Macaca fascicularis: one gene and its partners. The protein of the gene in region 1 purifies or fractionates together with the protein of each later gene. This does not show direct contact. Links are inferred from orthologs where the notes say so. Each region holds a gene or a part of one and is shown on either strand. Other genes may lie near its edges.

What was found.
Region 2: the proteins of SEH1L (region 1) and NUP107 purify together in Homo sapiens (affinity purification with mass spectrometry; 5 studies listed by BioGRID and IntAct, with this or other methods). This does not show direct contact. The link is inferred for Macaca fascicularis from reciprocal best matches to the Homo sapiens genes SEH1L and NUP107.
Region 3: the proteins of SEH1L (region 1) and NUP85 purify together in Homo sapiens (affinity purification with western blotting; 4 studies listed by BioGRID and IntAct, with this or other methods). This does not show direct contact. The link is inferred for Macaca fascicularis from reciprocal best matches to the Homo sapiens genes SEH1L and NUP85.

Annotation. Positions count from the first base shown.
Region 1 is NC_088392.1:81,036,142-81,041,057, reverse strand, and holds part of SEH1L (nucleoporin SEH1), read right to left. Parts: intron 4,882-4,916; coding exon 4,724-4,881; intron 3,368-4,723; coding exon 3,217-3,367; intron 2,179-3,216; coding exon of another isoform or gene 2,166-2,178; exon of another isoform or gene 555-2,165; coding exon 359-554; 3' UTR 1-358. UniProt on the Homo sapiens protein: Component of the Nup107-160 subcomplex of the nuclear pore complex (NPC). The Nup107-160 subcomplex is required for the assembly of a functional NPC.
Region 2 is NC_088385.1:75,451,303-75,456,218, reverse strand, and holds part of NUP107 (nuclear pore complex protein Nup107), read right to left. Parts: intron 4,916-4,916; coding exon 4,824-4,915; intron 4,344-4,823; coding exon 4,257-4,343; intron 3,352-4,256; coding exon of another isoform or gene 3,324-3,351; coding exon 3,208-3,323; intron 1,668-3,207; coding exon 1,523-1,667; intron 1-1,522. UniProt on the Homo sapiens protein: Plays a role in the nuclear pore complex (NPC) assembly and/or maintenance. Required for the assembly of peripheral proteins into the NPC. May anchor NUP62 to the NPC. Involved in nephrogenesis.
Region 3 is NC_088390.1:81,599,198-81,604,113, forward strand, and holds part of NUP85 (nuclear pore complex protein Nup85), read left to right. Parts: intron 1-1,467; coding exon 1,468-1,538; intron 1,539-2,613; coding exon 2,614-2,657; intron 2,658-4,916. UniProt on the Homo sapiens protein: Essential component of the nuclear pore complex (NPC) that seems to be required for NPC assembly and maintenance. As part of the NPC Nup107-160 subcomplex plays a role in RNA export and in tethering NUP96/Nup98 and NUP153 to the nucleus.

The DNA.
Region 1 (4,916 bases):
TGCTTTCACATTAGCCAGTCTGATAAAGCATAAACAACTTAAGACTATGGTAACAGTTCAAAATAAAATTTACAAAACAGGCACTTTGAAGTCAGCTACTGTGTGTAACTTCACAGTTAACGTTACTTGGACATATCTCATTTCATCAAAGGTTATCACCCAGTGAAGCCAACGTTCCTTTGATGGAGACGCACAAACAGATTTAGGTTCGAAACACCGTATTCCAGTTGTAATACATGCAAGACAGACCCTAAGTTAGAAAAATCTTCTGAAAGAAAGTGAAGAAAAACAAAAAGCAGCCAGAAATGAAAGCATTTACAAGCACTTGAATAAGGCCTTTCAATGTTAAATCAGTGTTTTAAACCCCTTCATTCTCAGGTAAGGGATTAAGAGGCCGAGAGAGATATCGTCTGCGAGGGTGAGGATACTGGAGGTTGGCAGTGTCAGCATCGCAAGAGTGCTCTACCAGAGGAGGAGGAGGAGGAGGAAGGAGCTGGGCATAACTGGACCATCTCGATCCAGCCCGTGGGGAATCCAGAGGGGGAAAGAAATACCTGAAACAATGAAGACAGGAACAAAACACCAAACAAAACAAAAACAGGGAAAAAAAAAAAAAAAAAAAACACAAGAAAAAGAGAAAAGTAGTAAATACAGAGAGAACCAAAGAGGAGAAAACACATGCTAGAAAAAAAAAAAAAAAAAAGCTTTAGTATATTCATGCCAAAACTAACAGAACATAATAGCACAAATCAAGACCCTTACTCAAATCAAGATTGCTTAAGCAAGTATAGAAACTTGAAAGGAATACAATCTGTTAAACTTAAAATGTCAAAAAAAATCAATATAAATGTTACAAAGAAAAACATTAATTTTATAAATTCAAAACACTTTCTAATCTCTCAGAAACATCTGATGCTATTCTGTACATTTACAAATCTAATAAGCTTTTTCTCTTAAGCAATGGTTCACTCACAACAGCAGCAAGCACACATTTTTTAGTGCATACATGATACTGAGAACACACACAGTATGGCTGGCTACTGCAACATGCGTTTGAAGAACTACAAACACTGAACACTTATTTTTCTGCAAAAGCCTTAGGATAGCTACCAAATTTCGAGAAGTGAAAGGACTCACAGAATGACCGTGCCCTACTGTTACTCTTCTTCCATTTTGTAACTTACCCGTAACACTTACACATTTTAGCAAGCTTAAATATTTATAGCTTTGTTATCAAGGTCAGAGCTTTACAGGATATGAACTAATTTAAACAGCCAACTAAATTAAGAAAATCTTGAGATATGGAATGCTGACATTAATTTACATGCACAATTTTAGTAAAATTTTAATGGCTTCTCTTAATAGTGTGTGTCCAAATTTTGATTTGAAGGAAACTAAGCCATGGAATAAATAACACCATAAAAATATACAAATGTATATAAGAAACATTTATCTCTTTAGTGACTATGAATTAAAAACTTATAAAAAAGTGTTTCCATCTTACTTCCAAATTGTAAATGAAACAATACCAAATGCTTAACCTGGCTACAACTGTACAGTCAAGTTCCTTCATTTTACTATTACTACTTTACTAATTCACTCCTTTACTAATATTCTTTAAATACTACAAGGAAATGACAGAGTTGTACTGAATGTCATGTATAAAGCAATTCTACAAAAAGTAAATCACTCAAAACAATCTTTATAAAAAATATTTATTCAATCTTCAAATTAAAATTATAAAAGTTCATTTTAAGCTGTTTTAAGAAAGCAAAAGAAATATGTCTATATTTTCCAAATGAAGTAAAGTGATATTTCCCCTCCTCCCAACTACTTAGATAAGAATGGTAACAACCCTTTTAATCTTTAAACCCAAATTAGTTTCAGGAATATTTCAAAAAATTGTTTTGGTGACAATGTCTCAACAGAAAGCCTCTCCATTTATATTTCAAAAGTTTCAAATAGTGTCAAAAAACTGACTAGTACAAAAAAATATACACTGTATTTTTAAAGGCCTTTAGGATTGCGTTTAGTAGTAAGCAGGCTGCTGGTGTATCTTGGGAGAGGTCAAACGGCGCTGGGGAAGGGGACAAGGAGCTCGCTTTCCATTCCTGTGTGCATGCAACAAGCAGCAAAACAGCAAAGTTACTCCAGTTAGCTTGTACTCAGCTGTGCTTTCTGTTAAAGGACATAATACAAATGGAAAAGGGAAATGCATCACAGATCTAACACAGATGGTTATCGGCACAATAAGAATACAGATCAAAAAACAGAAGCTATTTACAAAAGAAAATACGCAGTACAGGCAGTGACCAAGAACCAGCCTTAAAAAATCAACTCTACTTATTTGTTTCATGAAATAATCTTTATAATCTGGTATCTTCCACGGTAACCTGAAATCGTTCTGATGCACATACTTAAAACCTCGAAATCAAAAGCAGGACTTCTTTATAAAAACATAACGATATAAAAATAGCTGAAATTTTAAATACAATTTTCTTATTTTATTTAGGATAACAACAGGACAGTCCATTAGGCTGTGTTTTGACGTTTCCTGAATTCTATCCCAAATTATTCACAAAGACATATTAAAATAATTTTATCTTACAAATTCACATATTTAAAATTTGAACATGAAAACAAAAGGATGACTCTTTAGATGACATCAAATATTCCTTATTATGATACACAAGAATGTAACATACGCTAACTATTCTAAAAATCAATCTCAGTTTTTATTATTTCCTCTTATTTCCATTAAACTTTAAACACAAAAGCCAAATAATTTAATGTACTCTCTTCTAAAAAGCCTTAATAAATGTATTTTATTTAAAATTGCAGTTTGACCTAATGCAAAGACCACACTACAAGCAGTGAAAAACACTAATGTTCATTTGGACTAAAACCCTCACTATTAAACCAGATAACCTTCCTCTCACTGTTGCAGAAGTGAAGTTGAATCTTAAACCTGTAACATTTCTACCGATAGACCACTAAAGCTTCAGAATATAATGTAATGACCTCATAACCTACCTGCAAATGTTATGACCAAGTAAGCCAAATACAGAGGTAACGAAATGAACTCTTAAATGCTAATATAATCACATGTGAACATTTCCACTCCATCTTATAATCCAGGAAATAATCCACCTTAAGTAGAGCTACCAGAATGATTTAAAACAAAGAGAATTTCCAGTTTTCCCATGAACAGCCTACCTGCCAGCAGAAGATCCATTTAATGAATTCTGAAGACTTGGAATATTTGAACCTAGGGAAGGATTTGAGTTTCCCTGCTGAGAACTCCCATTGACTGGGCTCCCATTACCTTTCAAAATACCAGTACACTTCCAATTGTCCATATAATTAGCTGAAAGGAAAATAATCAAATACATTAACGTGATTAATACCAATGCCTAAGGGCACAAATCCGTACCCATGTCCTTAAACTACAATTAAAGAAATGAGGGAGAGGCTAGGGGCTACATTTCTTTCAGGATAAACATTAAAGACACTTTTTAAATGGAAGACATATTGTCTTAGTTTTAACAAATTTTTAGAAGTTTTCAAAGTATCAATAACTTTAAAAGTATAAAGCTTTCACCACCCATGTTACAGATAATAGCAGAGACAATTTTCTGAGCTACCGTATTATCACATTATGAAATTAATATTAAAATCTCCATTATAATATTAAAGTCTTCATTATAATGAATTTCACTTACATATGTAAGGTAATGAAATTGTCTTCTTAATTATGCAAGTATAAGTTGTATGGGTACCTAATGTCTTCTGAAATGGATGTAGGTAAAAAACCTTTGGAGATTGAGTGGCTTATCCAAAATGGCCTTATTAGTTTGAATGCAAAATTGGTCTCTGAAGACAATGAGCCCAAGAAAATCAAGTTAGGCAGCCTGCTGGGGAGCATGGCAAGGTGGTCCTGACTAAAGCCCAGAGGCAGAAAAGGACAGCAAAGCCCTTGAAATCAAATTACACTGAAGAAAGGAAGGTCTGAGCTGGTTTTGCCAAAGCCCAAAATCGAACATGGGAGGCCCTCAAGCTTACCCAAACTGCACTTTGGGAAACAGTAACTGCTAAAGAGTAAATAAACCAAGACAGCTATAATTTTGAATGCTAAGTATGGGACACCATTCATTATGGTGGTGCACAAATCACAGAAATCTCTGCCCAACAGATAATCATCCAAAAAGCAGTGCAGAACCACGCTACAGAGACCACAGTCAGTGTCAACTGTCCAGACCTTCTCACTCAGCCTGGCACTTATAAAAAGCTTACAATCAGGGCCCCAAGGCTCTTAACGTTTGCACAAAGCAGGGAAGATACTGGATTTTCTCCTATTAAGGACTGATTGTCTAAAGTAATCTATTTGATAAAATAAGAGCGACCATAGTCCTAGCCTGAGTCTGTAGAGCAGTCAAGTAAGGTACATATATGACAACTGGTATCTTTTTACTGGAGATACTGCATATTCTGTTGTAATTACTTTAGTTTTAAAAGTTGCTCTGTTCCATATAACTTGAAAAACAATTCAGTGATTAACTGCTATGAACTAGGTAAACTGATGTTTGAAATAACATAAATTAATATGACATTAAAAGTAACCGTAAAAGACCATTTTTAAAAAATATTTCAGAGTTTACATTTTTAAGTAAAAACTCCAGAGCAGAAATATAAACCAACAATTACCCCTCCACTGAAATCTTACCTTTCCACAATCTTACACAGCCATCATCTCCTGAAGATGCTAGCACTGTTCCTGTTATATTCCAGCTCACTCGCCAGACCTGAGAATTATGATTATCAAACTGAGCCACTATATGGATTTCAAACTTTGTTGGCCCACCAGAGGAAGTCAGTTCTTTCCTGTTAATAAAAAACATTTTCTGAGGCATTCTAAG
Region 2 (4,916 bases), on another chromosome or scaffold:
TTTCTGTTGTTGCCTATAATCCCAGCACTTTGAGAGGCTGAGGTGGTAGGATCACTTGTGTCCAGGAGTTTGAGAGCTGCCTGGGCAACATAGTGAGACCCTGTCTCTACAAAGAAATAAAAAATTAGGTTGGGCACAGTGGCTTATGCCTGTAATCCCAGCACTTTGGGAGGCTGAGGAGGGCGGATCACTCGAGGTCAGAGTTCGAGATCAGCCTGGCCAACATGGTGAAACCTCTCTCTACTAAAAATACAAAAATTAGCCAGGTGTGGTGGTGGGCACCTGTAATCTCAGCTACTCGGGAGACTGAGGCAGGAGACTGAGGTGGATCACCCATGGTCAGGGGTTTGAGACCAGTCTGGCCAACATGGCGAAACTCCATTTCTACTAAAAATACAAAAAATAGCCGGATGTGGTAGCATGTGCCTATAATCCCAGCTACTCAGGAGACTGAGGCAGGAGAATCACTTAAATCACTTAAACCTGGGAGGCGGAGGTTGCAGTGAACCAAGATCCCATTACTGCACTCCAGCCTGGGTGACACAGTGAGACTCTGTCTCAAAAAAAAAAAAAAAAAAAATTAGCTGGGCATGGTGGTAGATGCCTGCAGTCCCAACTACTTAGGAGGCTGAGGCTGCAGAATTGCTTAAGCCTGGGAAGTTAAGGCTGCAGGGAGCCATACTTATGCCACTGCAGGTAGCCTGGGTGACACAGTGAGTTTTTTTTTTTTTTTTTAGATGGAGTCTCGTTCTGTAGCCCAGCTTGGAGTGCAATGGTACAATCTCAGTTCACTGCGACCTCCGCCTCCCGGTTCAAGTGATTCTCCTGCCTCAGCCTCTCCAGTAGCTGGGATTACAGGCGTGCGCCACGATACCCAACTAATTTTTGTATTTTTAGTGGAGACGGGGTTTCACCATGTTGGCCAGGCTGGTCTTGAACTCCTGACCTCGTGATCCGCCCACCTCAGCCTCCCAAAGTGATAGGATTACAGGCATGAGCCACCACACCCGGCAACAGAGTGAGATTCTTGTCTCAAAAAACACACACAAAAATTTGTTGTTTAAGCTACTGTCTCAAGAAAAAAAGACAGAAAGAAAAGAAAGAGAAAAACAGACGGGCACGGTGGCTCACGCCTGTAATCCCAGCACTTTGGGAGGCCGAGACGGGCGGATCACGAGGTCAGGAGATCGAGACCATCCTGGCTAACACTGTGAAACTCCGTCTCTACTAAAAATACAAAAAAAAATTAGCTGGGTGTGGTGGCGGACGCCTGTAGTCCCAGCTACTCAGGAGGCTGGGGAGGCTGAGGCAGGAGAATGGCGTGAACCTGGGAGGCGGAGCTTGCAGCGAGGCGAGATCGCGCCACCGCACTCCAGCCTGGGCGACTGAGCAAGACTCCGTCTCAAAAAAAAAGAAAAAAAAAAAAGAAAGAGAAAAACATAATGATGTTCAGAAACAGGAAGAGACGATTTCCTTGATCTTAGTGAAAAGCTACTTGTTACAAAGCTCAATGCCATTTTACCAGCTTCTCCAGGATCATCCTCACGTAACATAACAGCACTGATAGTTACATCTTCTGTTACACTGTGAGGCTCTGTGTTTGTGAAGAGTCCAGAACGCTGTGATGAAAATGCAGCTGCCCAGTTACTGTCATCCAGATTGGTAACCTTAAAAAAAAAACAAAAAAGTAAAAATAGAGAAAAGTGATGGAGTTATTGTCACTGAGTGGATACTTTAAAAGCAAGTAAGATTTCTAAAAATTGTATGTATGTATGTGGGTTTTTTTTTTTCTTGAGATAAGGTCTGGATCTGTTGCCCAGGCTGGAGTGCAGTGGCACGATCACAGCTCAATGCAACCTTTGCCTCTCAGGCTTAAGCCATCCTCCCACTTCAGCCTCCCAAGTAGCTGGGACTACAGGCACGTGCTACCATGCCTGGCTAATTTTTGTATTTTTAGTAGGGACAGGGTTTCACCATGCTGGCCAGGCTGGTCTCAAACTCCCAGCCTCATGTGATCCATCTGCCTCAGCCTCCCAAAATGCTGGGATTACAGATGTGAGCTACCATGCCTGGCTACTATAGTGTATTTATTTATTTATTTATTTTTTGAGACAGAGTCTTGCTCTGTCTATCGCCCAGGCTTGAGTGCAGTGGTGCGATCTCCGCTCACTGCAAGCTCCACCGCCTCCTGGGTTCACTCCATTCTCCTGCCTCAGCCTCCCGAGAAGCTGGGACTACAGTCGCCTGCCACCACGCCCGGCTAATTTTTTTGTATTTTTAGTAGAGACGGGGTTTCACTGTGTTCGCCAGGATGGTCTGGATCTCCTGACGTCGTGATCCACCCGCCTTGGCCTCCCAAAGTGCTGGGATTACAGGCATGAGCCACCACGCCCAGCCTATAGTGTATTTTTAATACTTAGGTGAAGTCATTCTGAATCACAGCTTACATAACATTTATTTTGCTATTTTCAATACTGTTCCATAGTGATTCCTAAAGAGTATCTCATCTACCTTTTCCAATTTTCTCTTGTATCCTCTTTAATACATTTTATCTCTTCCTTATGATACTCTGCATCTATTACCCTCTGATTCCTACTCTTGTATGCTTCAAAACAGGGATCAGATTTTATAGCCATCAGCAACCAACCACAGCATGTATTTCTTCTGGTCAGCAAACTGACAGATTAAAACATCTTATCTGCATTTAAAGGTTGCTGGTGTCACAGTTTCCATCTGTGATATCAGATGCATAAGGTTTTCAGTTTTTTTAATGTCTAATTAATTATTTCAATCCATATAATCTAAAGTTACTTTTGTGATGATTCTGACTCAATATTCATTAAAAGGCTTTTACATCAAATGTTATACTTTTATAAAAAGGGAGAACTTCTTTTCTCTCTCTCTTTTTTTTTTTTCTTTTGCAATCACAGGTCACTGCAACCTCTGCCTCCTGGATTCAAGCAATTCTCACACCTCAGCCTCCCGAGTAGCTGGGATTACAGGCGTAAGCCACCACTCCTAGCTAATTTTTTTGTTTTTAGTAGAGACAGGGTTTCATCATGCTAGCCAGGCTGGTCTCAAACTCCTGACCTCTGGGAAGCCAAGGCGGGAGAATCACTTGAGGTCAGGAGTTCAGGGGGTGCTGAGATTACAGGTGTGAGCCACCACACTCGACCCAAAAGTTCTTAGTCCTATTTTTCTACATACCATGGAGAGATTTCCGAAGAACCCTGAAGACTGTGTAAGTCGGGGCGACCTCCCTCCTGTTCCAAGAATGCAGGAAATATCTGGCTGCCTTAGTAAGCTTCGGCTTGTTGGGGTAACTATAAACAAAAGGTTGGTAGAAAGAACCTAAAGTGCGTGAGCATTCATTATCAAAGCAAAGCAAACAAACAATGAAGAATAAATTTTTACTGTACTCTAACCAAATAAATACTTTAAATGCTAACATTTCCATGATACAAGGATTTAAATTATTTTTCTAAATTTGAGCTGTAAGTACTACTGAGCCTAACAGGAAAAATTTTACTGCAATTGCAGATGCTTTCATTATAGCCTAACTGAGCAGTTAAAGCCACTAATCAGTCAATGGATTCTTCATATTTTAATTTTATAAGGCATACCAAGGCAGTGTAGTACAGTGGGCATAAACTTTGGAGTAAACAGATCATTGTTTGAATCCCAGTTCCACTATTTACATACTAGTCTTGTTCTGTCACCCCAGCTGGAGTACAGTGGCACAATCTCAGCTCAGTGCAACCTCTGCCTCCTGGGTTCAAGCAATTCTCCTGCCTCAGCCTCCTGAGTAGCTAGGATTATGGGCATGCGCCACCACGCCAGCTAATTTTTGTATTTTTAGTAGAGACAGGGTTTCACATGTTGGCCAAGCTAGTCTTGAACTCCTGGCCTTAAGTGATCCGCCTACCTTGGCCTCCCAAAGTGTTGAGATTATAGGCATGGGCCACTGCATCCAGCCTATTTACATACTTACTGCCTATATTAGTTAACTTCTCTAAGTCTCGCGTTCAGTTTCGGTAAAATAGAGCTAACGATACCTATGTCATAGTTACTGTGTGTTTATGGAAAGTACAGTACCTTGTACATGGCAAGAGTTCAAACAAATAATAACTGCAATCATTATTATTAGTGTTTATTGATATTGTAACCAAATACTATACTTATCATGTTACAATAAATGTTAGTTGCTATTATAATTATCATTATTATTAAATGCTTTAAAAGCAAAAAAGTCTTACAAGGCTGTCGAAATGAGCTAGGAGTTCGAGGGATAACCTGGTTTCTTGGTGTAGTATTACCGAAACTTTCATCTTGAGATGCCTGAACTGTACAATGAGTTAAGAAAAGTTTTCCATGTAGAAAAGATTAAAATGAGAATTAACCATCTTTTTACTATACAAATTATGTGAATACATTTTTCAAGAACAAGGTATTTTACGGCTACCATTTTTCAATGCAAAGGGTAAATAACCCATTCCTTCTGCCATTTAAATTCTCAGACGTCAGTCTTAGATAGCTACACACTGAACTAAATGTTTTTAGTCAGTTTTCAAATAATAAAAATCTCAGCAGAAGCTAACCACAATATGATAGTCAGCAGTAAGAAATATCTTTATTTTTAAGGAAATATAATCTTATTAAATTTTTGCATTATATTTACCTAATGACAGCTCTGTGGAGTGAAAAAAATTTCTACAGGATTTTATTATAGCTAACATTTAATACTCTTATAAAAAGAAAATTCTATAACACTGATTCCAAACATGTTACAATTTTTATAATGATGCTTAAATCGCAAAGGATACTTAAAACTCTTTTTTGAGCACTCTGTTTCCGTGCAGTCCGTGTCACCTCTGCCTCCCGGATTACAGGGGATGATATATCTCCAAAGCCACTCC
Region 3 (4,916 bases), on another chromosome or scaffold:
AGAGTGCTGGGATTACAGGCTTGAGCCACCGCGCCCGGCCTTTTTTGTTGTTGTTGTTGAGACGAAGTCTTGCTCAGTCACCCAGGCTGGAGTGCGGTGGCGCGATCTCGGCTCACTGCAAGCTCTGCCTCCCGGGTTCACGCCATTCTCCTGCCTCAGCCTCCCGAGCAGCTGGGACTACAGGTGCCCGTCACTACTCCTGGCTAATTTTTTTGTATTTTTAGTAGAGACGGGGTTTTACCATGTTAGCCAGGATGGTCTCGATCTCCTGACCTCGTGATCTGCCCATCTTGGCCTCCCAAAGTGTTGGGATTATAGGCGTGAGCCACCGCGCCTGGCCGTGCCCTGTTTTTTTTGACTCTGTTACCTAGGCTGGAGTGCAGTGGCAATCTCGGCCCACTGCAGCCTCTGCCTCCTGGGTTCAAGCCATTCTCCTGCCTCAGCCTCCCGAATAGCTGGGATTACAGGTGCGTGCCACCACGCCTGGCTAATTTTTGCATTTTTAGTAGAGAGGGTTTCATCATGTTGGCCAGGCCGGTCTTGAACTCCTGACCTCAAGTGATCTGCCCACTTCGGCCTCCCAAAGTGCTGGGATTATAGGCGTGAGCCACTGCACCTGGCCTGATTATTGGTTTTAAGGGACTCTGGTGGGTAATATTGGTGAGTTTGAGAAATCTATTGTCACTTCTAGGAAAAAACATGTCAAAAGTCCTGTAATTCCTTGATGGCAGGGGACCCTGTCTTATTTTTTATTTTTTATTTTTTTTTGAGATGGAGTCTCGCTCTGTCGCCCAGGTTGGAGTGCAATGACATGATCTTGGCTCACTGCAATCTCCGCCTCCCGAGTTCAAGAGATTCTCCTACCTCAGCCTCCCGAGTAGCTGGGATTTTTTTTTTTTTTTTTTTTTTTGAGACGGAGTCTCGCTCTGTCACCCAGGCTGGAGTGCAGTGGCCGGATCTCAGCTCACTGCAGCCTCCGCCTCCCGGGTTCACGCCATTCTCCGGCCTCAGCCTCCCGAGTAGCTGGGACTACAGGCGCCTGCCACCTCGCCCGGCTAGTTTTTTGTATTTCTTAATAGAGACGGGGTTTCACCATGTTAGCCAGGATGGTCTCGATCTCCTGACCTCGTGATCCGCCCGTCTCGGCCTCCCAAAGTGCTGGGATTACAGGCTTGAGCCACCGCGCCCGGCCGTATCTATTTTTTTGAGACAAGGTCTGACTAGTAGATTTCATCTGCAACAATTAATGTCAGTATGGGTTTATGGATATTAACTTTAGCCCATGGGTTGTTTTGTGGCGTTTTATTTTGTTGCCCAAGTTGTTCCAGCTTCAGAAGGTTACGAGCTCCTTCACAATGGCTCCCCTCTTTCTTTCAGCAAATTTCTACATTTATTTGAGTGTTTTCTTCTTTTCTAGCACTACAAGATGTTCCAGGCTCATCTTGTGTGTTATTTCATTTTTTATAGATTGGTTCGAGTGAGTAAAAACTACCGATCAGTCATAAGAGCATGTATGGAGGAAATGCACCAGGTTGCAAGTAAGGACTGTGTGTGTGTGTGTGTGTGTTTGTGTGTGTGTGTGTTGGTATTTTGAGTATTTATCTATGCATAAATACTGTGAGGTAAAGTTTGATTGATATTCCAGTCCAAAACTTACTTTTCCATCTTTCACAATCTTTACTTTTTTGGTAATCATTTAGAGTATTTTTTTTTTTTTTTTTTTTTTTTTTTGAGACCGAGTGTCACTCTGTCGCCCAGGTTGAAGTGCTGTGGCATGAACTCAGGTCACTGCAACCTCCACCTCCCAGGTTCAAGCGATTCTCCAGCCTCAGCCAGCCTCCTGAGTGGCTGGGACTACAGTTGCATACCACCAAGCCAAGCTAATTTCTGTATTTTTAGTAGAGGTGGGGTTTCACTATGTTGGTCAGGCTGGTCTTGAACTCCTGGTCTCAAGTGATCTGCCTGCCTTGGACTCCCAGAGTGCTGGGATTACAGGAGTCAGCCACTGTGCCTGGACTTTTTTTTTTTTTTTTCCTGAGACAAGGTTGCCCAGGCTGGAGTGCAAAGACACATTGTGGCTCATTGCAGCCGTGACCTCACCTCCTGGGCTCAAGTGATCTTCCTACCTCAGCCTTCCAAGTAGTTGGGATTGCAGGTGTGTACTGGCTATTAAAAAAAATTTTTGTCCCATCTTCCTCAGAGACATTTGTTCTGATAATTTTTAAATTTTTTGTAGAGACAGGGTCTCCCTAATTTTGCCAAGGCTGGTCTTGAACTCCTGGGCTCGAGCAGTCCTTTCACATCAGCCTCCCAAGTGTTGGGCTTACAGGTGTGAGCCACACATGAAGCCACTCTGACAAAGGTCAGAGACCTTTATGGTAACTTTGTTGCAGTTGAAAGTGCCATTTGGTAACTTCAGGGCCTTTGGTTTGAGAATTGAAGGGATATGAAGCATTAATAACAAAAATATCCATAATTAGAAGAGATTATAATTTCTTTTAATTTTTGTCATTAAAGGAAACAAAGGCTCAGGCCATAGACCCTGGAATATTCAGCTATGAAAATAAGCCTAAGAGTTCCATTGCTCACTTAAAATGTTTTGTGTTTCGTTAGTTGCTGCTAAAGATCCAGCCAGCGGCCGCCAGTTCAGCAGCCAGGTAAGGGGAGTCACCTTTGTTGTTTTAGCACCACTGTGTCCTGTGTCCTGGGCACCCACCTGGGGTGGCTTTGCAGTTCCTGTTACGGCAGAAGTCTCTTCAGGTAGATAGGCAGCTCCTTTGGGTGACAGTGATTGTCTTGCCCCTTTCAAGGTCTAGCTCACAAGGAAATGCTTGTTAAATACTTGAGTGAATGTTTGGTTCTTCTTCTTCTTTTTTTTTTTTTTTTTGAGACGGAATCTCGCTCTGTCACTCAGGCTCGAGTGCCCTAGGTTCAAGCAGTTCTCCTGCCTCAGCCTCCAGAATAGCTGGGTCCTACAGGTGCGTACCACCGAGCCCAGCTACTTTTTGTATTTTTAGTAGAGATGGGGTTTCACCATGTTGGCCAGGCTGGTCTCAAACTCTTGAACTCAAGTGATCCACCCGCCTCGACCTCCCAAAGTGGTGGCATTACAGGCGTGAGCCACCGTGCTGGCCCTGAATGTTCAGTTCTTATGGAACATGTATGTCCTGACCAAATTGTGTTGAGGGGTTGTCACCCGAAATGGAGAACTAATCTTGTGAGATCACTGTTCAGTCTCATAAACACTACTCACTTCTCGAACTCAATATTTTTTTTTTTCTTTGAAAGACAGGGTCTCTCTATGTTGTCAAAGCTGGTCTTGAACTCCTGGGCTCAAGTGATCCTCCTGCCTTGGCCTCCCAAAGTGCTGGGATTATAGGTGTGAGCTGCCACACCTAACCAAACTCAACATTTTTACTGAGTTGCAAGTGGCTCTACTTTACTTGGAGCTGGAAGATGACTTTTTCCTTAGTAGATGCTTCATATTAAATACTTTTCAAAGTCAGTAAGTGACTAGGCGGTAATTCAGTGTCTCTGAAGTACCCTTATAAACAAGTCATCGTGGTGTCTGTGGACCGAAGGATGGTGAGGAGAGGAAGCCTGCATATTCCTAAGGGCAAGGTCCAGGTCTGATTTATTTCGGGGTCTTATATTGGGCTTTCCCATTAATAGACTGTTTCCTAAACTTCAGTCCTTGGAATACCAACTTCACAATTCTTGCTCTGTCTACGTGTTTCGTGTCATCTACTGAATATTTTTGTAAATATCGTCTCTTCCTTTTACTCAAATGAAGTCCCTTGCTAAAGCATCAATTCATCGAGGTAGGCTGGGAGCAGTGGCTCACGCCTGTAATCCCAGCACTTTGGGAGGCTGAGGTGGGCGGATCTCTTGGGGTCAGGAGTTCGAGACCATACTGGCCAACATGGAAACCCCGTCTACTAAAAATACAATATTTAGCCAGGCATGGTGGTGTGCACCTGTAATCCCAGCTACTCGGGAGGCTGAGGCAGGAGAATTGCTTGAACCCTGGAGGCAGAGGTTGCAGTGAGCCGAAATCATACCAGTGCACTCCAGCTTGGCTGACAGAGTGAGACTCTGTCTCCAAAAAAAAAAAAAAAAAAAAAATAGCCAGGTGCGGTGGCTCATGCCTGTGATCCCAGCACTTTGGGAGGCCAAGTTGGGGGAGATCACCTGAGGTCAGGAGTTCAAGACCAGCCTGGCCAATGTGGTGAAACCCCGTCTTGACTAAAAATACAAAAAATTAGTTGGGCGTGGTGGCACACGCCTGTAATCCCAGCTACTGGGGAGGCTGAGGCAGGAGAATCACTTGAACCCAGGATGCGGAAGTTGCAGTGAGCCGAGATTACGCCACTGGACTGTAGCTTGGGCAAGAAGAGCCAAACTCCATCTCAAAAAAAATAAAAAAGTAATAATTGGTGACATGCAAGTTATATTTTTTTCTTTTTTTCTTTTCTTTTCTTTTTTTTTTTTTTGAGATGGAGTCTCCCTCTGTTGCCCAGGCTGGAGTGCAGTGGCACGATCTCAGCTCACTGCAAGCTCCGCCTCCTGGGTTCACGCCATTTTCCTGCCTCAGCCTCCCGGGTAGCTGGGACTATACGTGCCCACAACCACTCCCAGCTAATTTTTTGTATTTTTAGTAGAGACAGAGTTTCACTGTGTTAGGATGATCTCGATCTCCTGACCTTGTGATCCACCCGTCTCGGCCTCCCAAAGTGCTGGGATTACAGGTGTGAGCCACCGCGCTTGGCCATATTTTTTTCTTTTTTTAAATTTTGAGACAGGGTCTCACTCTTGCCCAGGCAGGAACGCAGCGGCACGATTATGGCTCACTGCAGACTCAACTTCCTGGGCTTAAGTGATCCTCCCACCTCAGCCTCCTGAGTAGCTGAGACTAC